Linked DNA regions of Sus scrofa. The protein of the gene in region 2 binds, or shares a complex with, the protein of the main gene of each other region. Links are inferred from orthologs where the notes say so. Each region holds a gene or a part of one and is shown on either strand. Other genes may lie near its edges.

What was found.
Region 1: ARID1B (region 2) and DPF3 share a complex: the UniProt entries of both Homo sapiens proteins name them as parts of the neuron-specific chromatin remodeling complex. The link is inferred for Sus scrofa from reciprocal best matches to the Homo sapiens genes ARID1B and DPF3.
Region 3: ARID1B (region 2) and ACTL6B share a complex: the UniProt entries of both Homo sapiens proteins name them as parts of the neuron-specific chromatin remodeling complex. The link is inferred for Sus scrofa from reciprocal best matches to the Homo sapiens genes ARID1B and ACTL6B.
Region 4: ARID1B (region 2) and SMARCE1 share a complex: the UniProt entries of both Homo sapiens proteins name them as parts of the neuron-specific chromatin remodeling complex. The link is inferred for Sus scrofa from reciprocal best matches to the Homo sapiens genes ARID1B and SMARCE1.
Region 5: ARID1B (region 2) and DPF1 share a complex: the UniProt entries of both Homo sapiens proteins name them as parts of the neuron-specific chromatin remodeling complex. The link is inferred for Sus scrofa from reciprocal best matches to the Homo sapiens genes ARID1B and DPF1.
Region 6: ARID1B (region 2) and SMARCD3 share a complex: the UniProt entries of both Homo sapiens proteins name them as parts of the neuron-specific chromatin remodeling complex. The link is inferred for Sus scrofa from reciprocal best matches to the Homo sapiens genes ARID1B and SMARCD3.
Region 7: ARID1B (region 2) and SMARCB1 share a complex: the UniProt entries of both Homo sapiens proteins name them as parts of the neuron-specific chromatin remodeling complex. The link is inferred for Sus scrofa from reciprocal best matches to the Homo sapiens genes ARID1B and SMARCB1.

Annotation. Positions count from the first base shown.
Region 1 is NC_010449.5:96,251,555-96,255,561, forward strand, and holds the start of DPF3 (zinc finger protein DPF3), read right to left. Parts: upstream 2,801-4,007; 5' UTR 2,737-2,800; coding exon 2,705-2,736; intron 2,552-2,704; exon of another isoform or gene 1,982-2,551; intron 1,370-1,981; exon of another isoform or gene 1,284-1,369; intron 1-1,283. UniProt on the Homo sapiens protein: Belongs to the neuron-specific chromatin remodeling complex (nBAF complex).
Region 2 is NC_010443.5:10,224,581-10,228,636, forward strand, and holds the start of ARID1B (AT-rich interactive domain-containing protein 1B), read right to left. Parts: upstream 2,801-4,056; 5' UTR 2,776-2,800; coding exon 1,156-2,775; intron 1-1,155. UniProt on the Homo sapiens protein: Involved in transcriptional activation and repression of select genes by chromatin remodeling (alteration of DNA-nucleosome topology).
Region 3 is NC_010445.4:8,556,299-8,558,774, reverse strand, and holds part of ACTL6B (actin-like protein 6B), read left to right. Parts: coding exon 1-48; intron 49-258; coding exon 259-345; intron 346-2,476. UniProt on the Homo sapiens protein: Involved in transcriptional activation and repression of select genes by chromatin remodeling (alteration of DNA-nucleosome topology).
Region 4 is NC_010454.4:21,801,410-21,804,539, reverse strand, and holds part of SMARCE1 (SWI/SNF-related matrix-associated actin-dependent regulator of chromatin subfamily E member 1), read right to left. Parts: intron 2,947-3,130; coding exon 2,774-2,946; intron 2,251-2,773; coding exon 2,149-2,250; intron 1,028-2,148; coding exon 817-1,027; intron 1-816. UniProt on the Homo sapiens protein: Involved in transcriptional activation and repression of select genes by chromatin remodeling (alteration of DNA-nucleosome topology).
Region 5 is NC_010448.4:47,141,506-47,144,593, forward strand, and holds the end of DPF1 (zinc finger protein neuro-d4), read right to left. Parts: intron 2,512-3,088; coding exon 2,399-2,511; intron 1,878-2,398; coding exon 1,766-1,877; intron 1,618-1,765; coding exon 1,547-1,617; 3' UTR 501-1,546; downstream 1-500. UniProt on the Homo sapiens protein: May have an important role in developing neurons by participating in regulation of cell survival, possibly as a neurospecific transcription factor. Belongs to the neuron-specific chromatin remodeling complex (nBAF complex).
Region 6 is NC_010460.4:5,985,966-5,989,465, forward strand, and holds the end of SMARCD3 (SWI/SNF-related matrix-associated actin-dependent regulator of chromatin subfamily D member 3), read left to right. Parts: coding exon 1-91; intron 92-298; coding exon 299-460; intron 461-1,570; coding exon 1,571-1,668; intron 1,669-1,826; coding exon 1,827-2,064; intron 2,065-2,262; coding exon 2,263-2,385; intron 2,386-2,502; coding exon 2,503-2,604; intron 2,605-2,799; coding exon 2,800-2,853; 3' UTR 2,854-3,155; downstream 3,156-3,500. UniProt on the Homo sapiens protein: Involved in transcriptional activation and repression of select genes by chromatin remodeling (alteration of DNA-nucleosome topology).
Region 7 is NC_010456.5:49,903,244-49,907,311, forward strand, and holds the start of SMARCB1 (SWI/SNF-related matrix-associated actin-dependent regulator of chromatin subfamily B member 1), read right to left. Parts: upstream 2,801-4,068; 5' UTR 2,603-2,800; coding exon 2,510-2,602; intron 1-2,509.

The DNA.
Region 1 (4,007 bases), on a different chromosome or scaffold from region 2:
TTAAGGGAAAGGAGAGAGAGACTCAGAAGGCACGCAGAGAAAATGCTAATGTCGTTCAGCCCCGTTTCATTGTCAGGAGGGACACGTGAGGATAAAAACATAGCTCTCCAAACCTTTCTCCCTGCTCCCCTCCTCCCAGCACCGCCATCTATCCCTTCGGCCTGAAGTGTCTCTGCGCTTTGTTCTAATTTATCCCATGCATAATTTATTCATGTGTGTATTGTTTCCTGATAAGCAACTTTTAAAAACAAATGAAATATACAAGATGATCTATTAAACAAAGTGTTTTTAAAAATAAAGGCCGATGATGTAGATCTCCCGGTAACAACGTGCGTGCCCCTGCGCTAGAACTTTAAAAGCCGTCCAAGGCACAGAAGGCTGGGCTGGTAGGGGTATTGTTTATACCTCCTTATCCCCAGGGAAAGGGGTCAAGATGCAAAAAGGAGCAGCTAATTATAAATGACCACTCAACTCCCACCTAGAAAAAGCAGGCTGGATGTCAAGGGTATGCTAAGATGTAGGTGTGTGTGACGACACAAAATTACAAATACATGGCATTGCAACTGTTTCTAATTATACAAAGTACAAGTGTAATAATTCAGAACTAATTCCAATAACCAGCCTGCTTCTCTCTCCCTTCCCCCACTTCTAACCCCACCCTATACAGATACCCTCCCCAAACATGTAGTCTTCTGCTGTCCAAAAACAAAAAACAAAAAACCGGAGCCGGTAGTAAAGAGCTAAAGAGCGTAGAGATATTGCCCCCGCCAGCGTATAAACGGGCCCAGGGGTAACTAGGGTACTGCTTTCCCAAAAGGAAACAAACCTGGCACACATGTGAAATAGATCCTCTAACTTGAGTTTACCAGGTGGCATCAGCTCGGCTACGCGATTTGGGCTGGAAATGTGAAAACTGCAAATCAGCTGTGGGTTCGGTAAAAACTCACAGCATCAGCGGTGTAGCAGCGCGAGGGACCGGGAGAGAGGATGCGGTGAAGTTACGCCCATTTATTCTGCCATAAAACATTTTCTATCTTGGGTGAAACGCTGTAGCGTTCAAGTGTAGTGTATCAGAGCTTCCAAGCGAGAACTGAAGCCGAGAGCTGCTCTCTAATCAGCCTCAGCTCCCAATGTCCTCTTAGGGTTAATACATATTTATACATTTAAAACTCCAAGATCTGGGACATTCCTAACCTTTTCTCCTACTACCGATAGGAGATAAGCTGGTGCAAACACGTCCCATTCTCCCCGCGAGTTCCTTCGTGTTAAGAACTCCCCTGCCGCCCCCCTCCCCCAGTGCGAACGTGGCTTTCAACTCCAAGAGGAGCCTCGGGTGCGAACGTGGATGCGCTGAGTTGAAAGAACCTAGGTGGGCATCCTCCAGGCACTGGCGAGAGAATTCGCCATGAAATGCCCTCCCCCGCACCTCCCCCTCCCCTTGCCCGCGGCTTCCAGCCTAGCTGCGAAGTCATAATCCCAGGGGTGCAAGCCCCCACCCACGTCGCGCTGCGATCCGGAGGGAGTGCCCCTCTGCCAACATTACTGCCAAGAGCACCCCTTTTAGAGCGACGCTAGTTTTCCGAAGCCACCCCCGGCTCCGCGATCGCTAGCGGACTTGGCGGCTTAACAGTTCCACGGATTGGAAGGAAGGAAGGAAGCCAGGATAAAAAGGAGGGGGAAGGAAGGCGGGCAGGAATTGGCTGTCGGACCTGGGGACTGGCCCCCGCGTGTCCTCGCCCAGCCCGCCCCCCCTCCGTCCCGGATCTGGGCGTCCGTTCAAAGTCTCCCGGCTGTGGCCAGAGGCACCTGCCCCTAGCTCTGGCCGAGAGCAGACGCTACCCGCTCGGGCGGGGAGCCCCAGGCTGCCTCTCGCCAGCCTCGACTATTCACCCAGAGGAGGCAAGAACACCATTCATAAGACCTGCAGCTTCCCAGTCTCCAAATCAACCCCAAGTTAACCCGAGTCGTTAATTTATTACAGGCAGTTCCCCACAAACAACACCCGGAGACACACCGGCGACCGCCCGAAGCGCAGTCAAGCTCTGGGGGCTGCCCCGTCAGGAAAGCCCCGGGCAACCACCTGGGCCCCAGGGCTCCCGGGACCCGGTGCTCCCCCTGCGGTCCTCCCAACTCCGGAAGGTTTGCACAAACTCCCCGCAAGCGATCAGAAGGCGGAGAGCGCCCTGAAAACTCCGGAGCTGCAGCGGTCCGCTCACCCCCGCCGACCTAGCATCGGGGCGGGGGCTGCGGGCTCCAGAAGCACCGGGCTCAGCCAAGTGCACCCAGGCGGCCCCAGCCTGGCTCTCGCCCCCAGCTGAGCCGCCCCCCGCGCCGCGCTCACCGCCCGGAGAAGCTGGGCACTCTGGGGACCGTGCTGTCCCTGAGCTGCCCAGGATCCCCTCGCTGTAGAGCACTCGAGCGCCTGGCTCCCCTGCCAGTAACCCCTCTCCCTCAGTCCGCCAATTTAGAAGAACACAAATGTACCAATTTTCCTCTTCTTAATTGCCTCTCCTGACATTTCTGCGCGCCCGGGTTAAAAAAAAAAAAAAAATGAAGAAGTAAGAGCTGAAAGAAAAGAGAGAAGCCCCACCGCGGCTGTAGGCGCCTGCAAGCGCAGTGCATTGGCAGCGCTCGGCACGCAGAAGGCGCCTTTTTTTTCATATTGAAACCACGAGGAAAATGTACATTTTTTAGTCTTACTTACGCTTTCAGGGGGTTGTGAATGACAGTCGCCATTTTGCTACAATGTAACAGAATATTGTCTGTCTCAGAGTTCTAAAGGTTCGCTCAGGGGAAGCGGCGAGCCAATCAGAGCACGGGATACCGGCCCGCTGGCCAATCGGCGCGGCTGGTCGCCAGGTGGGCGGGGCCTGCACGGTGGTAGTTATTAGGGGAGCTGTCAAAGCCCAGAGGTCACTCCCTTTTGTAGAGCCCGAGAGCAAGCAGGTCTTAAAGGGGCAGTACCGCGCGTAGAGCTCCTTTTCGGATGAGGGAAAGTGGAGACGCACGAGAGTATTCTAGTTTGGTTTGAATCCTTACTTTCTAAACAACTGCAGAGAGTTGCGCTCCTGGACAGAAATATTTAAGTCCTGGACAGAAAATATTTAAGTATTGCAAGCAAACCGTTGAACCCTATTCATTAGCTTTTGGCTTTACTGTTACGTTTTTAATCCCCCAAAGGACAATTCCCCTCGTTCCAGTGCAAAAATTGGAAGGGTGCCGTTTCGTCTAATTACTACACGTGTCCTGCCGCTTACTAATGCTCTGGGTCCTGCGGCTTTTTAATATTCTCATTCCTGAAGTGTTGTCTTTATCTCGGCCACCTTCCTCTGATTTCTTGGAACTGGTGCCGCCGTTCCTGGCGACTCCAGGACAGCAACTCCCCTCCCCCTGGAATGTCTCAATGTCAGGCTCGTTCCCTCCAGCAGCCAGGCTTTCCTTACTTAATACGCGGTGGTCACTCAGGCAATTGCCCACTGCCACCTCCTCTGTCCTCGCACAAACCAGAAACTTCGGAAATTAAATGGTCAGAGAGCTGGAGAGCCAACTGGGGCCTGGCGCTCTGACCTTTAGGCTTAGGGGAGGGGTGGTTTAAGAGAACTTTTGCAAACGCTTTCTGCTCTTCGGAAAGAGTAACGAGACAAAGTTGTGGAACCTAGATGGGTGTTGCCAGAGTCCCTTTCGGGGAGTAGCATACGCGATTCCGGCGTCACCTTTCATTGATTAGATAAAAAGGTGAAAAGAATTTGCTAATGAATAATCAGATGTGACCTGAGGCGTTCAGAGAATGTGTCTGCTTCAAGTCCGTGCGAACTCCTCACTGGCGAAGCCCTGACAAAACTGAGAGACTTCTGTGAAGCCAGGCTTCCACTGAGGAGCCAGGCAGCTCAGGGTGGATGAAATCGCACTAAATCATGAATAGGGGCCTCGTTAGCATACAGAAATCTGGCTACTATCCAAAGTTGTTTAATGAGGTCAAATAGCTAAGATAGTGGGGGAGGGGTGAA
Region 2 (4,056 bases):
GTACTGCTCAGCACTTCTATTTACATCAGCAGTGCTAAATGCCCAATGGTGAGAGGGGAGCCAATCAGATGGCAGATTAGATGTCAACTCAGAGGCAGCTGTCTGGAGACTATTACAGCCAGTTTACCTCCACAATTCAAATTCCAAACCTTGCAAAGGAGATCAAGTCAGTCTTCAGGCTCAGCCTACGAGCAAGAAACAGCAAGAGTGCAGGACACCTCCTAACAACGCTGCAGCTCTTGGGTGTCAGGAAATTTAAAATCCAAATAAATCCTATCCAAAAAGATCAATTTTCACTGGTCCGCTATTTCCCTGGATTCGCTGGATAAAATGTATGCCGAATCCACGATCAAAATAAGTTCAATCTAGCCGGAATGTGTTCCTTCAACACAGTCTATCTGTTGAAGGTGACTCCTTTCGAGCAGCCTGCAAGCCAAAAAATGGACTTCCCGGCTATTCTTAGGAATGAATCGATTTATTTTAGGATATTTTACCTCCACATCGCTGTAAACGTGGGTATTATTTTTGCTACTACACAAACTCAAAGCCCGCATCCGATATCTCCGAATGGCTGGGCACAACTACGAAACACACTCGGCTGCCACAAAGCTAACCTATTTTTCCTGCCTTCACCTAATAAGCTAAGAGGGAACGTAGTGTGGCCGGAGGTAGGACAAAGTTCCTCATTCTTTTCCCAGTTCTAGCTCATTGTTGGCGCTAACCGAGAAGAGGGGGTCAATCTTCCTTCCCCGACCGTACCGGCCGGGAGCGCCTATTTTGTTGAAAAAGCTGCCCGAACGGTCCCCGGCGCCCACACGGCTTCCCGGCGGCGCGGTCCCCGACTCCCGCACGCGCGGCTCGGCGCCTGGGGTGGGGTGGCCGGGCGGGTGCTGCGCGACCGGCAACCGCGGCGCCCGTCCCGGGCCTCGGCCAGACCCCCTCCCCAGGCCCCGGGCCCCGCGCCGCGCAGTCGGACCCCGCGCGCTGCCCGGCCTCGGAAGGAGGCAGCCGCGAGTTAAAATGGCTTTGGGCGTCTCGCCCCCGCCTCCCCCGACAGAAGACGCAGAAAAAGTACGCGGAAAGAAAGAAACTAGGGCTCGCGGCGCGCCGCGAGGCCGCCGCGGCGGAAGCAGGCCCGACCGGCGCGGGGGTTACCTGGGATCTGCCCATGGTCGGGCCGGGGGTGCCGGGGCTCATCGCCGGGTGGCTCCTTTGTTGCGCGGCCGCCCAGGCCGGGCTGGCAGCGGCGTACTGGGCGCCCATGTCCTTGCCCAAGCCCATGCCCGCGGCCGCCTGCTGGCCGCCCGCCGCCGCCCCCGCCGCCGCCGCCTGGGACTGGGGCTGCGACGGCGGCGGCGGCGGCGGCGGCGCGCTGGGGCTGCTGTAGTCGGGGTAGCTGCCGCCGTAGCTCCTCATCATGGGGCTGGGCGAGGTGAGCAGCTGGTTGAGGGTCGGGGTGGCCCCCGACGGGTGCTGGTTCTGCCCGGCGAAGCGCTGGAAGCCCCCCGCCGCCGCGCCGGCGGCCGCCTTGCTGAGGCTCGCGGCCCCGCCGCCCCCGGGGCCCATCATCATGCCGCCGCCCTGCTGCCGGGGGGAGCTCAGCACCCCGTACCCCGAGGACGAGCCCCCATAGCCGCCGCCGCCGCCTCCTGCTGCTGCTGCCGCCGCCGCGGCCGCCGCCGCCACAGCTCCCGCTCCTGCTCCTCCTCCTCCTCCTCCTCCTCCGCTGCCTCCTCCTCCTCCTCCTCCTCCTCCTCCTCCTCCTCCTCCGCCACCGCCGCCGCCGCCGCCGCCGCCCGCGCTGGGCCGGCTGTAGCCCGGATAATGGTTGTACTGGCTGTTGGGGTACCCTTCGTGGGAGTTCTGCAGGGGGTCCATGCTGTTGGGGGCTCCGGCGGTGGCTGAGGCGGAGTGCATCATCCCCATCCCGGGGCTTTGTTGTCCGCCATGTTGATCAAAGCAAGGCCCAGCGCGGCCGCCGGGGCCGCCGCTAGCAGGGGCAGCGCTGCCATAGTAATTATTAAACTCCGAGACGGCCGCCGGGCCGCCGCCACTGCTGCCGCCCCCGGGCACAGCGACCGGCGGCGGCTGCGCGCCCAGGGCGCCCAGGCCCGGCTGCTCGTAGCGGCCGCCTGCCGGCTCCCCCATCTTGGGCGGCGCGTCGTCCTCGTCGCCCGGCTTGCTCAGCAGAGGCTGGCCCGGGGGGTCGGCCTGGCTGCCCGCGGCACTGTCCTTGGCGCCTCCATGTTGCGGCTGCTCCATGTCGGGACCGGGCTGAGCCGTGCCGCCGCCCGCGCCGCTGAGGCTGTTGTTGTTGGAAATGGGATGTTGCTGCTGCTGCTGCTGTTGCTGCTGCTGCTGCTGGAACTGGTTTAGCTGCTGCTGTAGTGCGTGGTGGTGGTGGTGGAGGTGGTGGGCATGGTGGTGGTGGTGGTGGGCATGGTGGTGGTGGTGGTGCTGCTGGTGGGGCGGTGCGGCGGGGGCTTCGCCAACGGTTTTCAGTTTGTGGTTGGGGAGCAGCCCCGTCTCCATGGCCGAGCCCGGGCCCAACGAGGAGGAAGAGGAGGACGCCGCCGCGGAGGAGGAGGAGGACAGCGCGGCGGCGCTTCCACCCTCCTTCAGAGCCGCCTCGGAGCCGCCGCTCTTGGCGCTGTTAGTGCTGGCGGCGGCGGCCGCCGCGCTCGCGTTATGGGCCATGTTCAGTTCGTGACGGGGGTGCAGGGGGTGGTGGTGCACATTATTCAGGCCGCCGCCGTCGCCGCCGCCCCCCAGCATGGGTCCCGGTGCCGCCGCCGCCGCCGCCGCGCCGCGCGCCCCCGCCTCCAGGTCCCGGGCCCCGAGCGCCGGCCGCGGCCCGGGGGGCGCCCGCCGCTCGCCGCTGCCCGCCCGCGCCCGCGCCGCCGCTGCTGCCCGCGCGGCCATGATCGCCGCGGCGTGGCGAGGCCGGGCGGGGGGCGGGGGGAGACAATAAAACCCACTTTTTAGTCTGCGGCCCCTCCTGTGCGCATCCACACGCCCCGACGGGAATCGAGCGAGCCCCCTCCCCCTCCACAGGCCCCGCCGGAGCCGAACCGGGAGTCACGCCTTACGGTCTGGGCCTGTTCCCGCTGTGTGATTTCATGGTGAAAGTTTTTAGTTCAGGTTTAAATGAAACTTTTCTCTTTTCCTCTCTAACCCGGATATGGGTAAATACACGACTCACTGAGCCTATCGGGCCCAGCATGGCATGAGAGGGAGCCGAGCGAGCCCGAGCAACTATTATCCACTTCTCTCTGATTACTCGTGCGCACTCGCAAAACGCGGACTGGACTCGGCCCGGGCCGCCGCCGCCCGCGGCGCCCTCCGCCCGCCTGCCCGCCCGGGCGCAGCCTCGCGGGCACCGGCGGCCCCGGGCCGGGGGCTCGGGCCGCTCGGCCGGCGCCGGGCGCGCGGCGGCGTGGGGCGACGGGAGGCTGCACTTTCCCCTCGTGCCTCCGTCTCCTTGCCAACCGGGCGTTCGCGTGTTTGTTTTCACGTCTAAAAGGAACGATTCAAAGGTGGAAAACGAGTCTGACGAGCAGACAAAAGAGGGAGAAGGGCTGGGGAACAAAGTTGTCTGTTGGCCTCAAAGGTTACGAGGAGCCGACGGAGAAAGAAGATATTTGGGCAATCTGTGCAAAAGCACTGCCTCTCCCAAGAGTTATGTAATTTTTCAGCATGTTAGCCTCTCTGCCTTGATTTCGGGCCGTCAATGTAATTCCCACAACTTCTTTAAACTGCATAATTAGGAAAGAGTTTAAGTGAAGGTTAGCCGCATTCCAGAAGCGCTGTGCCCTGTACACAGCAGGTACTCAATAAATGCTTAGGTTGATTGCACCTGCCCCAAAAATAACGTTGATATAACTTTTTTTAAGGCATCTTATATGTGTACGTAGGCTTATCAATGAAAACATAAAGTAATCCCAAAGGAGCATTTTTCCTTCCCATGCACTTGTCTGTCCTCGCTCTGAAGAGAAAGTCTTCAAATACGTAGCGTGGTGCGTTATGCTCCCAGCAACTTGCACGTGGAAATTTAAC
Region 3 (2,476 bases), on a different chromosome or scaffold from region 2:
GGCTTCACTGACAGGCTCAATCGAGAACTTTCCCAGAAGACTCCACCGGTAGGAGCCCATGCGTGGCCAGGGCCTTGGACTCCAGTCCTGGCTTAGTCCTTCAGGACTGAGTCCTTCCTCCTTCCCACGCGTGGAGGGAGTGTTCTGGCCACCAGAGCAGATGGCTGCCTGCTGTGGCTTCCCAGTGCTCCCCACCCCCAGCCCTGACCCTTCCCAGAACCCAGGTGTCGGCTTCCCCCAGCCCCTCTTTCCCCTCAGAGCATGAGACTGAAGCTCATCGCCAGCAACAGCACCATGGAGCGCAAGTTCAGCCCCTGGATTGGTGGCTCCATCCTGGCCTCACTGGTGAGAGGGAAGGGCTTGGCCTAGCACCGAATGTGGGGAAGGGGCAGATCCAGACGGCCCCTGCCGCCTTGCCTGCCTCCTCATTCATTCATTCAACAAGCATTTATTTTGATGAAAGGGAAGTCAGTGCTCCTGGAAAGGCGGATGCGACATCAGGACACAAATCTGGGAGCGGAGGAGAGGAAGCTGGAGAGGCTGGCTGGGATGAGGTCATAGTGGTCTTATAGGCCAGGGCGGGACACTGACTGCTTGGAGAAAGATGGTGTGACTGCCACAGGCACGTTTGGGAAGATTATGTCAGACATGAGTCTTTGGAGATCAGGGTAAGAGCTGGACGCAAGGGGACTTTGCCAGCAGGCTCTTTCTGTAGTCCCGGGTAGTAGTGTGGATGGGGTAGCGAGAAAGGGGCAAACAGGAGGAGGCAGGCAGGAGTTCCCGCTGTGGCACAGCAGGATCAGGGGTGTCTCTGGAGCATTGGGATGCAGGTTCAATCCCTGGCGCGGCACAGTGGGTTAAGGATCCAGCATTGCCACAGCTGCAGTGTAGGTCACAAATGGCTTAGATCTGACCTCCGGCCCAGGAACTCTAAATGCCGCGGGATAGCCAAAAAATTAAAAAAAAAAAGAAGAAGAAGAAGAAGGCAGTAGGCAGATTGGTTCCAGAGCAGAGAGCTGCAGATGCAAACTGTATCTGAGGAGTGTCAGCCACACAGAGAGGAGAGCAAGGTGATGACAGGACAAGGAGGACACCCACTGGAGGGGGTGCCCCCAAAGAGATAGAAGCAAGGGTCAGAACAACAGGAGGCTGACGGTCTGAAATTAACTCAGAGCTGGGAGCATGCCAGTCACCAGTTGCCCCAGGCCTCCCGTGTGCCTGAAGTGGACAGACGTCTGGACCTAGTCCCTGCCTCCATGAGTGGGGACAGTCTGGAAGCCGAGACAAGCAGGAGGTCGCCACAAAGTGTTGGGAGTTCCTAAGGAGTTCCCCTCGTGGCTCAGTGGTTAACAAATCCGACTAGGAACCATGAGGTTTCGGGTCCGATCCCTGCCCTTGCTCAGTGGGTTAAGGATCCGGTGTTGCTGTGAGCTGTGGTGTAGGTTGCAGATGTGGCTCGGATCCCACATTGCTGTGGCTCTGGCGTAGGCTGGTGGCTACAGCTCCGATTTGACCCCTAGCCTGGGAACCTCCATATGCCGTGGGAGCAGCCCTAGAAAAGGCAAAAAAGACAAACAAACAAACAAACAAACAAACAAAAAAACCAAAGTGTTGGGAGTTCTGTCAAAGGAGGACCTGATGTGGCTCAGGGATCATGAAGGACCTCTGAGGACCCTTCAAGCTGAAATGAGTAAGAACTCATGAGACAAAGCGGGAGAGAGGGTGCATGGCCCATGGGGAAGCCAGGCAAAGCCAAAGGCCATGGGCAGATGCTGTGGGATCTGAGTTTGGGAAGCTCGCTTGGGCTGCAGAGCGGAGAGTGGACTGGAGAGGCTACTGTGGTCTCTACTGTGACCTGGATTTGACAGAGGAGCGGATACTGGGGGGGTGGAACTGGCAGCTTCTCAGAGTTCGGACTGACAGAATGTGGACACTCTTTGGATGTGCAAGGTAAGAAGGAGAGGGTCAAGGGTGAGGCCCAGGATGCTGGCTCCTGGCAGTGCTGTCCAACAGGAGTGTAATGGGAGCCACGTATGTCATTTCAAAAATTTTAGTAGCCATTTTTTAAAAACAGTCCAAAAAATAAGAATATATTGTATTTGGGGGGAGTTCCCGTCGTGGCTCAGTGGTTAACGAATCCGACTAGGAACCATGAGGTTACGGGTTCGGTCCCTGCCCTTGCTCAGTGGGTTAATGATCCGGTGTTGCCGTGAGCTGTGGTGTAGGTTGCAGACGCGGCTTGAATTTGGTGTTGCTGTGGCTCTGGCGTAGGCCAGTGGCTACAGTTCCAATTCGACCCCTAGCCTGGGAACCTCCATATGTCGTGGGAGCAGCCCAAAGAAATAGCAAAAAGACAAAAAAAAAAAAAAGAATATATCATATTTGGGGAGCTCTCATTGTGGCTCAGCAGGTTAAGACTCTGACTAGTTCATTATTAAATAAAAAAAATAAAAGACTCTGACTAGTACCCATGAGG
Region 4 (3,130 bases), on a different chromosome or scaffold from region 2:
AGATCTGGAAGTCTGAATTCCTCCAGGAGGGAGTCAACAAACACTTACTGCTTACTGCGAAGGCTAGTCAATATATTTTGGGTTTTGTGGGCCAGGCAGTCTCTGCCGAAACTACCCAACTCTACTGCTGTAGCCCCAGAGCAGCCACAGACAATATGTAAACAAATGATTCCAACAAAACTTAATTTACAAAAACAGGTGGCAGGCAGGATTTGGCTGCAGGTTTTATTTGCCCAAGCCTGTTCTAAGACACCAAAGATGACTTAAGAGCAATGACCACATCTTGTTTGAATAACTTCCGCAAAAAGGTTAAAATCTTGAGTGTTTACACCACATCAAATCCAGTTATATGCTTTTATGTACATTTTCTTATTTATCCTTTAGAATTCTCTCAGATACAGGAGCTAGAATGCTCAGAAATGAGGAAACTAAGACTAAATAATTTCCCCAAAGTCACAGTGCTAGCAGTGGTGCAGCAGCAGTAGACCTAGATCTGTCTGTATCCTTAACCGTTTATAGCATCACGCTTCATATTCTCAAGCCAGGGAATGACACGAATCAATCCAGGCAAAGACCTCAAACAGCAACACTAAAGACAACACATCACTGCTGTTTTGAACCAAAACCATCGGTTTAAGTGAATCTACTGTGAGAGGTTAAGATGTGCAAAGAAGTGGGAGGGTCAGATGGAGAAGAACTCAAGAGGCAAGATTAACAGAGCGATGTCCGAGCAGCACCGAGAAAGGGAAAGCGGAATTAAAGACAGCGGGAGAGACCCTGGGTTGACCTTCATGGTGGTGTGACCTGGCAGGTTACCTGTCTCCACTGGCATGCTTTCGTCTTCCTTCTTTTCTTCCGTCTTATTAGCTGCTTGCTCTTCCTCAGGAACGATACTGCTCTGGCTGCGCTCGGCTTGCTCGGCTGCCTCTTTCTCCCTTTCCTCCTGCCTTTTGCGAGCCTGTTCCTCGGCCTGTGCAATTTCAGCTGCAATTTTTTCCATATCCACTTCTACTTTCAAACCACACAACTAATAGAAAACAAAACCCAAGAAGCTCTCTTAGTGATGTTCTTTCCTCATAATCTCTGAACCAGAGACACTGTCTCAAAAGTGAGTTTCCTTGGCTAAGAACTGTACACACGTATAAGGCAGAAAAAAAGAAGCTGGAGGTCTTCTCTGAAGCTCTCAGGTCTGCAGAAAAAGTTGCCCTCGCAGCCATGTGACATCAAGGATCACAGGAGAGGGAGTTCCTGCTGTGGCTCAGTGGAAACAAATCCAACATCCATGAGGACACAGGTTTGTTCCCTGGCCTTGGTCAGTGGGTTAAGGATCCGGCATTGCCAGGCGCTTCAGTGTAGGTGGCAGATGTGGCTTGGATCCCGAGTTGCTGTGGCTGTGGTGTAGGCCAGCAGCTGCAGCTCCGATTCGACCCCTAGCCTGGGAACTTCCATATGCTGTGGGTGCGGCCCTAAAAAGACCAACAAAAAAACCAACCCCCAAAAAGTACTGTTTTATATACAAACCTCCCATTTTATATTTCAGGCTGCCAAACATTACTTTTAATGTCTTAAAACAAAGTACGGAGTTCCCGTCGTGGCTCAGTGGTTAATGAATCCGACTAGGAACATGAGGTTGCAGGTTCAATCCCTGGCCTCGCTCAGCGGGTTAAGGATCCAGTGCTGCCGTGAGCTGTGATGTAGGTCATAGACGCGGCTCGGATCCTGCGTTGCTGTGGCTGTGGTGTAGGCCAGGCAGCAACAGCTCCGATTAGACCCCTAGCCTGGGAACCTCCATATGTTGTGGGTACAGCCCTAGAAAAGACAAAAAAAAAAGTACAAATTGTGAACTACAGCTAATGAAGACCTTTAATGAAAAAATTGCAAAAAAAATGAAAATAATTTATGACTGCCTGAGTGTACATTAAAACATCAGAGGGTTCTAGAGTCCAAGGCCCAGTACATACGTGTACACTACATGATATTTCAAACATATTGTAGTTTTGCCAGAAAATGGGAATTATTTTACCGTGCAAACATCTTACCAGTTATAGCAAAGTTAACACTGTTTCAAAGTGAACAACGTTCCTTAAAAACACTCTTTTCGGAAAAAACACAGTGATAAAAGCATAATTAACATATTAAAACTGATACCCTTTTAAGTTCATTATTAAATGAATCTGTGCTTTCCAGGAATTTCCTCTTCTTTTCCTGATGTCGCTCCTCTATTTGAAGAAGTTCAGCTTCCAGCTTTCGCTGTAAAACATATGACCAGGCTTTGTTACTACCGAGTATCTTCTCGAGAGCAAATATCAAACACAGAAAATCTTCTTTTTTTAAGAGTCCATACTTTCTCATAGTGGGATAGATGTTTTGAATTTTTCATTTAAATTATTTATCACATGTGTCCAGCTAAGGTTTAAAAAGTGTGAAATGCAGTGGAGAGGAACGACTGAGAGGTACATGTTGAGGCATATGGTTTCTGGCCTCAGGGATTTCTATGGAAAAAAATATTTATGACAGCCGTAGAAGTTATTAGGATGTCTCAAAATTCTTAATGCAAATACTTTCTCTGCCAAAAGGCTCTGTCACCGTTTTAATGACAAACTTATTAAATCTCTGGGAAACTTAGCTACTCCCTCAAGCCTCTTCCCCGAATCAGGAACAGGTCAGACTGAACATAAATTTAAGAGGCACACGGACGCATGGTACAGAATCAGGTCGCCTGGCACCTGTGGCCTAGGCACATTTTATTGTACCAAATGGTCTGTGACTTTACCTGATGAACCATTAAGGACTGGACCTGTCGTTTGAGGACCTGCATTCTAGCTGTTGTGACAACAGACCGGACGTCTGGCACCACACTCTCACTGAGGATTTCACTGATGAGGCGGTGGTTTCTCTGGAAACGGGCAGTGGCTGTATGCTTCATTGAAAAGCCATCATCATAATCTGGAAAAAACAAGATGATCTGGAAATCAGGTCACCAGTAACCGTAACTGGGAGCGTGGAACAAGGTTAACTCTTAATTACCAAGGAGCCAGGGCCCTCACTGGTCTAACAAGTGGGCCTACAAGGCATCCAGGGAACACTGGGGCAGCCATTTCATCATCCCACATAGGATACACTGGCTAAG
Region 5 (3,088 bases), on a different chromosome or scaffold from region 2:
AAATCTTTTTTTCTCCTAATGTCCCTGGATCTGTCTTTCTCTCCTTTGCCCCTTCCCCTCTCCTCTTTGCCACACGTCAGGCTCAGGGGCGCCAGGCCATGAGTGGGCCGAGGCCGTGGCGCTCCTGGCACCCCTGCCCTGTGCCAAGCCCCAGGAGGGGAGGAGCGGGGCCGGGCTCAGTCTTCATCTTTCCATCCCTTCCCTTCCCCCAGTCCCCGGCTTCCCGCCTCCCTCCTCGCTGCTTCCCACTGCAGCTGCAGCAGTCCGTTGCCAGGGCAACCACAGCTGGCTGGGTGGGAGCCCCCTCCACCCCATCCCCCCCTCTTTTCCTTTCCGACCAGGCAGGGAGGAGCGGGACAAAGCCAGAGAAAGGCGGGGTGCAGAGGGGAGCCAGAGGTAGGGGCCAGCTCCAGCTGTTAACCTCAGTTGCTTCTCCCCCAGTGAGGCCCCACCTCCAGTTTTGGTGACGCCCCAAACCGGCCTGGAGGACGAGGCAGACGTGGGCAGAGGGGTCAGGCCCAGTTTAATACACAGAACAAGTTAATTCACAGCAGAGGCAGGCAATAAAGGAGACTCGTTTACAAGGAGGGGGCACGCCTGGATTGGAGGAGACCCCCCCAAACCCATCACCTCCCCCACTTGCAGTCTCATTTTCCCTTTTTTTTAAAACCCAAACAACAAACACAACCACAAGAAACAACCACGCCCCCTCGAGACCCCGAAAATGGCCAGCGAGGGTGGCAGGGGGCGGCCCGGCCTGGCCGGTAGGGAATTGGGGCGGGGAAAAATCTAGTCCTTTGCAGAGTCTGTGCTTCTCGTTCCAGCAGGCGCTGGGCAGGGGCCCGCCTTGCCCCACCGGCGGCCAGCCATGGCAGCACGGAGTGGGCACGGGCCGGGCTCTGGGGAGGGAGCGGGAACAGAGCTCAAAACCATGGTTCACATCATGCAGTATCCACGGTGGGCACCAAGGGGGTGGGGGGCCAACACCACACCACCTGCCCTGCGTACAAGGAGGGAATGGTGCCCACCTTGGGTGGGGAGGTGGGACAGCTGCAGTGCCGCAGACTGGGAGGGAGGGGCCGCCAGGCAGGAAGCTGGCATAGACTGGTGCCCAGGAGATGCGCTCGGCAACCCCCCTCCACCCAGCCAGGCCTTATAGGACTCTTTGTATATATTAATTTCTTTTTTTTTTTTAACTTTTTGACTTTTTCTTTAGAAAAAGGCTATGTCCGTGCCCCCAGCTGGCATCCACCACCCCTCGTGCCCGCCCAGAGGCGGGGTATGGCTTTGAGGGGAGCAGAAGCCCCTGGTGCCCATTTGCCAAGGGGTGGGGAAGGAGGGAGGAAGGAGAGGGCCCAGCTGGGCCCACCAACCCACAGGGCAAGCATTCCACTTGCACGGAGGGGAGGGGGTGGCCCCGCCCCCCTCAGGCTCGCCCGCCCCTCCCGCTGTGGGGCATTAAGGATGGGGAGAGAGTGGAGGAGCTCCGGGAGGAGACTCAGGTAGGCAAGCACCACCCCAGAGGTCCAGGTGAGCCAGAGCAGGCCTAGGTGAGGGTGATGTAGGCAGAGGCCTTCTCTTTCAGGTGCCGAAGACAGAGGTGACAACTCCAGCTCCCTGTAGGGTGGCCCGAGGACAGGGAGTAAGACCTGGGTCTGGGCACGGCTGCCCCCACCCCCGCCCACCACCGGCGGGCACCATCTTCCCCAGCAGGAAGTCCACCTGCCAACCCTCCCCCACCCCCCCAGGCCTCCTCTTCGCTCACCTTCTGGGGGCTCCGCCATGGGGGGACTCAGGCAGTACATGTGGTAACCCCGATCACAGTCGTCACAAAACAGCAGCTGGTCCTGGGGGGTGAGACCCGCCCAGCTGGCACCCTGGGGGCACGGGTACCAGAAACCGGGGTGGGGGGGCTGGGGCAGGGGACAGGTCAAAGGGGCTGGGGGAGGTGGTCCCTTCCAGGACAGAGGGCTCTGAGGAGGTCATCTTGGCAAAACCCTGTGAGTGAAACGCCCCTGAGGACTGTCAGTTTGCGGTTTGTCGTTTGGGTTTTCTAAGGTTCTATGGCACACTGAAAATGACACTGGGGCGGTCAGAAGCAATGGATGCGGTGTCAGGTCCCAGCTGTGCCATCTTCTTAGCCGGGTGACCTTGGGCAAGTCTGCTCCCCTCTCTGAGCTCCCTCCCTCTACCTCAGGGTGGTTGGGAGGAGTCGGAGAGTGAAGAGTAGTAAGTGCCAGGCTCAACTAATGGACACTAACTAATAATCATGGTACAGGTTACTGGGTTCACCAGGGAGGGGGCTTCAGGAAAGGCTTTAGACCCAACTGGCAAAGCCGGAGGTGCTGGAGGGAGGCGGCTCCGGGGGCGTGTCCCGGGGAGGGGGGTGGGCACTCACGTCGTTCTCGGAGGTGCCACACAGGCTGCAGGACTTGCACTCGATGCACTGCCAACGGTAGGTTCGCACGGCCGCCGTCATGTTCACCGTGAACTGTAAACACGAGGGGTGTCCTGGGGGCCGAGGGGCAGAGATGCGGTTAGGGGTCGTTGTGCCCCTGGTGGCTACTGACCCCTGGAAGTGAAATGGCTCAGCCCCTACCCCTGGCTCACAAGGCCCACAGGCTGACCCCACCCAGCCCCGGTGCCCAGTGCCCGTCCCTCAGGCAGTGCTGCCGTGGCCACCAGTCTCCTACCCAGCCACCATGGCAACCACACTCTGCTCCCCAGAACACCATGGCAACCGCATTCCATTACCCACAGTGCTGTGGCAACCCCTTTCCACCACCCACAACACCGGGGCAGCCACATTCTGTTAACCACTGCGCTGAGCAGCTGCATTCCATTACCCACAGCAGGATGGCCAGCCCGCCCTGTGAACCGCGGGCACGTGGCAACCCCAGCCTCCCAGCCACGATGCCATGGCAACCGCCTTCCACAGAGGGGTCTCCACGCTCTGGTTCCCTGCGACCCAAGCCCATTACACATGATGCCCCAACCACCACACCGTTACCCACGTGACTATGCAGTGGGCCAACCCCCTGGCCATCCCCCCACCCCCGTGCAGACACCCAGCCGCTACCCGGGGCCA
Region 6 (3,500 bases), on a different chromosome or scaffold from region 2:
GCCCACAACTCAGGAGACGGACGGGTTCCAGGTGAAGAGGCCGGGGGACCTGAGCGTGCGCTGCACGCTGCTCCTCATGCTGGACTACCAGGTCCGTGCCCCCAGACACCCCAGCCCCCTCCCGGGACAGGGTGACCAGACAGGGGGGCCCCAGGCTCCTCACACCTCCCACCCCCGCTCCGAAAGCATGTTTCCACGGAGCCCGACCACCACATCCCCCCCCTACGTCCCAAGCTGCCTGGCCCTGCGCTCCCTCCACGCCCGCCTTTGTCTAACTTGCATGGTCACCTTTCCCCAGCCCCCCCAGTTCAAACTGGATCCCCGCCTGGCCCGGCTGCTGGGGCTGCACACGCAGAGCCGCTCAGCCATTGTCCAGGCCCTGTGGCAGTACGTGAAGACCAACAGGCTGCAGGACTCTCACGACAAGGAGTACATCAACGGGGACAAGTATTTCCAGCAGGTACCCTCTCTCTCGAACCCAGGGCCACGGGGAGCAGGCAGTTTCCGGGAGGGGAAGTGCCTCCACTAAGGTAACAGCACCTCTCCCCTCCTGACTGCATCAGAAACGGTAAACAGTCCTGGTCCGGCTGCCAGAGCCAGAGTCCAGGCTCTTCCTCGCCCCGCTCCGTGCCACAGCCGTCTTAGCCCACCCAGGCTGGGGAATCGGAGCCCTGCGAATCCAGCAGCTTTGGGGAGCATATCCTTGGTACTTGGAGTGAGGATCCCCAGGTTCCAGTCTTGGCTCCGGACTCTGGATAAATGACTTTGCTATTTTGAGCCTTATTCCTTCTCTTACAGTAAGGAGGGTGCTGACAAACTGCTGTGGAAGTGACCTGACAAAATTCTACCAAAGTGGAGATGATCATTAACAATAATTTTTATTTATTTATTTTAAATTTTATTTATTTATTTTTATATTTTTACTTTTTAGGGCACCCACAGCATATGGAGGTTCCCAGGCTAGGGGTCAAATCAGAGCTATAGCCGCCGGCCTACACCACAGCCACAGCAACGCAGGATCCGAGCCGCATCTGCAACCTGCACCACAGCTCACGGCAATGCCAGATCCTTAACCCACTGAGCAAGGCCGGGGATCGAACCTGCAACCTCATGGTTCCTAGTCAGATTTGTTCCCGCGGTGCCTTGATGGGAACCCCAACAATAATTTTTAAAGAAAAACAGCAGATAAACCTGAGTGGTAAAAATAAAGTCAGTGTTTATTGAGCACTTACCATGTGCCAGGCACTGGTCCGAGCCCGTTATGTGTGCTGACTCTAACCTCACAGCCACCCCGTGAGATGGGCGCTATTATCATCCCCTTTCTAGAGATGAAGCAACTGAGGCCCGAGGTGTTGGGTAAGTTGCTCAGCTGCACAGGAAGTGGTGGAAGCAGGATTTCTACCCAGGCCAGCAGCCCAGGCCTTGGCGCTGTCAACCATGCGCTGCATGGACCCGCCCCACTGGCAGCCCCTGCCCAGCCCCGTGGGCTCTGGCTTCCCCAGGCCTTTTCAGAAGGGAATGTGTGCTCTTCCAAACATGCGGCACGAGTGATCTCTCTCTCCTACTTCAGATTTTTGATTGTCCCCGGCTGAAGTTTTCTGAGATCCCCCAGCGCCTCACAGCTCTGCTGTTGCCCCCTGACCCCATTGTCATCAACCACGTCATCAGGTGAGGCCCCAGTTCGCTCTCAGAACAGGGAGTCATTGTGGGGGCGGGGGGGGGGGCTGGCCTCTCAGTCCCTCCCGCTGCCTCCCACTCGGGGCCCCTTCCCTCCCCTTGGCCTCTGTGGGGCAGCAAGGACACCAAGGGCTGGACTTCCCTGGCAGCGTGGACCCGTCGGACCAGAAGAAGACAGCGTGCTACGACATTGACGTGGAGGTAGAGGAGCCACTGAAGGGACAGATGAGCAGCTTCCTCCTGTCCACAGCCAACCAGCAGGAGATCAGCGCTCTGGACAGTAAGGTGGGGCCAGAGCCCAGAGCTGGAGTGGGACATCAACCCCAAAATGACACAAGCACAGACAAAACAGACGAGAACACGGGCCTATGGAGAGAAGAAGGGGAGGTGGGCCTTGCCTTGCTACTTGGAGCTCCGCCCATCCCCCCTTCCCTGGGACTGCAGAGGCCCAGTCCAGCCCCAGGGGACCTGAGGGACAGCCCTTCAAAGGAACAGCAGCAAACCCCTCCCCCCGCCTCCCTTCCCCCTCCCATCCTCGCCCACATCAGCAAGGCCAGGTGAAAGCATCTGTCTTTCTACCTGTAGATCCACGAGACGATTGAATCCATAAACCAGCTCAAGATCCAGAGGGACTTCATGCTAAGCTTCTCCAGAGACCCCAAAGGCTACATCCAAGACCTCCTCCGCTCCCAGAGCCGGGACCTCAAGGTGAAGGGGACTCAGGGAGCACTGGATGGAAGACAAGCACATTGGGAAGACAGTAAACGTTGTGCCCAGGGGCTGGAGGGGATCCGGGCTCAGGGCTGACCCGCTGCTCCCTCCCAGGTGATGACAGACGTGGCAGGCAACCCTGAGGAGGAGCGGCGGGCTGAGTTCTACCACCAGCCCTGGTCCCAGGAAGCTGTCAGCCGCTACTTCTACTGCAAGGTGAGGAGGGCCCAGGACACCTCCAGCCGCACCCTCCCCCACTCCCTGCTCAGCCTCTACAGCCACTCCACCCTCCCCGTCACCACGCAGGGGAGGCTCCCTGCTCCCCCTGCGCCTCCAGGGCCGGGGGTGGGGGGGGTGGTCCTGTCACTCACCGGGAACACGGTAACCCGGCTCCTGCTCCCCTCTCTAAAGATCCAGCAGCGCAGGCAGGAGCTGGAGCAGTCGCTGGTTGTGCGCAACACCTAGGAGCCCTGGGCACGAGCGCTGCTGTGGGCCCCTGGGCCCCTGCCCTGTCACCTCGGGCACTGCCGTCACTCCTGATGCCTTGCGGCCGAGGTGGGGACCGGATTAAAGGTCATTCATCTGATGGCACTCGTGTGGTCACTGGCAACTGGGGAGGGAGGAGGAAGGGGCAGGCCGTGGGTCCCTCTGGGCAGTTCCTCACCCCTCCCGCAGAGCCGCCTCACTCCATTTGCCCTAGACCTAAAAACGGTTTGGCAGAAGACACTTTTAATAACATTTTCTTATTAAAAAAAATACAGCAACAAGCTCTCCATCTGTCCGTCCATCTCGCCTGGCCTTCCTGGGGCTGAGGCCGGAAAGGGAACTAGGTGGCTGGCGGTGGCGGGGCCCCGGGGTGGACTAGGTGCTGTTGGCCTGCTCCTGCTCAAACAGAGCCATGGCGAGCTGGGCGCGCCCCCCCAGCCCCTCCAGGTTGCTGAGGCGGCAGCGGTGGTAGAGTTCCTCGCTGAGCCGAGGGCTGCAGTCACGCAGGGAGAACTTCTGCACCAGCCCTGGCTCCACGGCCCGGAAAAGGTGGAGCCCTGAGAACCGGAGGAAAACATCCATCACCTCCAGCCCCTCCAGGGCTTCCTCCTCTTCCTGGCCTGCCA
Region 7 (4,068 bases), on a different chromosome or scaffold from region 2:
CTGAGATCAGGGTTCTGCCTTGTTGGGTTTTCCCAGAACCAGCCTTTGCCATCTGGACCACGGTTTCCCAAATGCAAAGTGAAGGTGTGGATAAGGGGACTTCCTAGGGTCCTCTCAGTTGTGACTCCAGTTTGGTGATTACAGCTGCCTCCAGATGACAGGAGAGGGACGACACACTCACTGCAATTGCAGATGCCCTCCCAAGGCTGCACACCCAACTGGGGAGGGGGCACAGTGGGTGCTGCTAAGGCTGGCCGGTCTCGCTGAATATGGTGCCTGTTTGTCAAGGGCAAGGGGTCTGGAGGCTGTCCACTCAATGCTGTCAGAGGAGCTACTGGATATCTGGAGACAGCACTCTGATCTTGAACCTTTCCCAGAACTCCCACGGTCTGATGATTGCTAAGCCAGGCCCCTGAAAGCACAGCCTCTCCTTTCTCCCATCTGGTCTCTATAAAATGTGTCTCTGGGCAAATGTTCTCACTCAACAGGGCTGAAAGAGAAGACTGCAGTTAGCTTTCAGATCTTAGAGATCATCTAATCTAAGCATCTCCTTAGAGCCACGAGAAAAGTGACATGGAGGCAGAGCTAGAACCAGGCCTCCTGACGTTCTGCCCACCTAGCCATATGCTGCTTCTCAATTTGCTCCACCTAATAATAAATGCAAGCTGGATTTTTTTTTTTTTTTTTTTTTTTTTTCCCCCACCCATGGCATGCAGAAATTCCCAGGTCAGGGATTGAACCTGAGCCACAGCTGTAACCAGAGCCATGGCAGTGACAATGCTGGATCCTTGACCTGCTGGGCCACCAGGAAACTTCTGCAACCTGGATTTTCAAAAGTGTATCTCCAACTCAGAGCCAAGGCCAAAGTGACTGCTCTTCCTGTCCATTAGATCACATAAAGGTTTCTTTAAACAATCTGCTCATTATCACAGACTGAAACTCCTCTCCTGCCTTTGTATCCCACATTTGAGCAGGTACCTACCACTCCATGAGGACCATTCTGAGCTATGGCAGGGACTGGTTCCTCCCCAGCACAGCTAGCTTTCAAGGGTAGCATTTCTGTGATGACAGGGAAAATGTATTACATCCTGTCCCTTGTGTTTTATAAAAACTGGTAAAAAATGGAAACACTAGAGTTCTGTTGCTACTGACAACAATGGTCTCATAACTCAATAAAACTCAGAGGAGCCAAGGATTACAGGGTGTCCTGAAAGCCCCAGTGTGACCATTATAAGACTTAATTCATTCACACCATGTTCAACTGTGAAGGAAAAAACCCAAACATTGTGAAGAAAAAAAAAAGGGGGGGAGTTCCCCTTGTGGCTCAGCGATGACAAACCCAGCTAGTATCCATGAGGTTTCGGGCTCGATCCCTGGCCCCACTCGGTGGGTAAAGGATCCACCACTGCGGTGAGCTGTGGTGTAGGTCGAAGACGAGACTTGGATCTAGTGTTGCTGTGGCTGTGGCATAGGCCTGTGGCTGCAGTTCTAATTCAATCCCTAGCCTAGGAACTTCTACATGCGCAGGTACAGCCTGGGGGAAAAGAAAAGGATGAAATGTTTAATATGGAAAACCGTCAGCATTTGTTATCTGCTTTAACACCTCCGGACTTCCACTTACCTCCTTACATGTGGGGGACACTACTGCTTGGTAGTTGCACATCTGAATTGTATATGCATAATTTAAAAATACATGCGTGTAAGTGTGTGTATACACACACTAACTGGGGACTGCCAAAAAGGATTAGTTTGAGGCAATCTGGAAAAACTTAATATACTTTGTATGAACTACCAATAAAGGACCAGTTGTAGGGTTTTCCTAAAGTTAGTCATCCAGCTGACTCTACGAACTGCTGCCACTTTAGCTAAGGATTAAAGATCGTTAGGCTCTTTAAAAAAAAAGTCAGTCCACGACATTCAAAGTGTCACCTGCTTCCGAAACTGCTGATAGATCTAACTCACAAACTGGAGCCTTATCCATCCAAAAGCAAGCATCTTCCTCCCAACCTGTTTCCTCACCATTAATTAAAGGTCAAAACACCTCCCTGCCCACCTCGAAGTCAATGAACGCAGTGCGGGTGAGTCCTCACTAAGCTGGGTGCTTCGAACCTGCGATTTCAGGGTCCCAGTTGCAGCAACGGGAAAGGATGCATGTGGGGGGGGTCCAACATCTTCCCCCCAAGGTGTGGCAGGGGACGACTAAAAACCCCGCTTCTGTGCTTCCCGATGGAGTTTTGGAACTCATCATGGAACCAGGGGCCACCAGGACGCCCCAGCCCCGGCATCCGGGCGCGTCCTGGACCCTGCGACACGGGTGGGTAAAACCACAGTAGAGCGCGGGGCGGGACCTGATCGATCACCCCCTCGCCCGACCACGCCCCGCCCACCGCGCCCGCCCGCCCGCCGCGATGAATGGAGACGCGCATTCCCGCCGCGCAGGCCCGCCCCGAGGCTCCCGCAGGGGCAGGGCCGGCTGGGGCCCGGAGGACGAGGATGCGCCGTGGGCTACCTCAGAGCCGATCATGTAGAATTCGCCGTCGTCCTCCAACTGGAACTTGACGGGCTTCTGCCCGAAAGTCTTGCTCAGCGCCATCATCATCATTGCGGCGGCGGAGACAGGCAGCCAAAGCCCGGCGTGGCTGCGAGTGTTGGGAGGGGTCAGGCAGGGCCGGAGCGCGCCAAGCCCAGGGAAGCCGGAGTTAGAGGCGAAGGGCGGGCGGGACCGAGTGCTCGCGCCGCCGCCGGGCTTCTCCGCCACCGCCGCAGACTAGGCCGCCCTCACTGCGCAGGCGCGGGCGTTGACGCTAACGCGCGCGCCGCCGCCGCCGCCGCCTAAACAAAAGGTCGGGGCGCGCCCCCGCGGGTCCCTTAAAGAAGCCTCAACCTGTGTCCCTTCCTCCCAGGCAAGCGGGGCGGGTTGGGGGCAGAATCAAGGAACACTTTTTTTGTGTTTTGTTTTGGTTTTTTTTGTCTTTTTAGGGCCGTACCCGCGGCATATGGAGGTTCCCAGGCTAGGAGTCTAATTAGAGCTGCAGCTGCCGGTCTACACCAGAGCCACAGCAACGCGGGATCTGAGCCGCGTCTGCGACTTACACCTCAGCTCACGCAATACCGGATCCTTAACCCACTGAGCGAGTCCAGGGATTGAACTGGCAACCTCATGGTTCCTAGTCAGATTCCTTGCCCCTGGGCCACGAAAGGAACTCCCCAAGGGACACTTCTCATGGACAGAAATACAACGGCGGCCCTGACTCAGGCTGCGGCTTTCCCAGTCTCACCGCTGGGACTGGAACTCAGCCCAGGGGAGGAGAAGCAAATTGAGGCCTGAAAGCCGGGAAGGGGCCCGGAGTACCTGTGACTCCGTTTCCCCACCTGGAGAACGCAGTGCAGCTGAGCAGATGAGAGGGTTCCCAGAACAGATAACCCAGTTCTGGGCCCACAGCTGTTACTGCAACTTCAGAGATGGAGGTGGTGAGGACGAAGGCTCCTGGGCTTGGCAGGATTCCAAAGCCCAGGCGGTTGGCTTGCCTGGTGCTTGGGATGAGTGTTGGAGGGGAGGGGACCATCTACAGACCATCTCCGTTCCTTCCTTAACTCTGGGCTTTGTGCCTTCCACCAGCCCAGTGCATTAAAATTATACAGCCCTGCCCTGGGGTGCTTAGAACCAGAGTGGGGCCTGCATCAAAGCATCCATGTATCTGGTGGAACAGTGCAGTGGGTCAAAAACGGCCTCCTGCTGACAATTTCCTGTGGTTCCATCTAACAAACTGCAGCTGTGATGGCTGCAGCTCTGAAGAAGATTCCCAGAGGCTGGGATGAAGGCAAGGAGACCTTGGAGAGTTAGGACTGGTCAGTCCTCTTAGCCAGTTTTGTCCTATGTTCTGACAGTAGCAGGACAGGGGCTGGGGCATAGTAGGATCAGAAAAAGTGACCACCGCTTAGTGGAGAAGCAGGGAAGCAGGAAACATTACAAAGCCACTCAAGGGGAGTTCCCGTCATGGTGCAGCAGAAACAAATCTGACTAGGAACCATGAGGTTGCGGGTTCAATCCCTGGCTTTGCACAATGG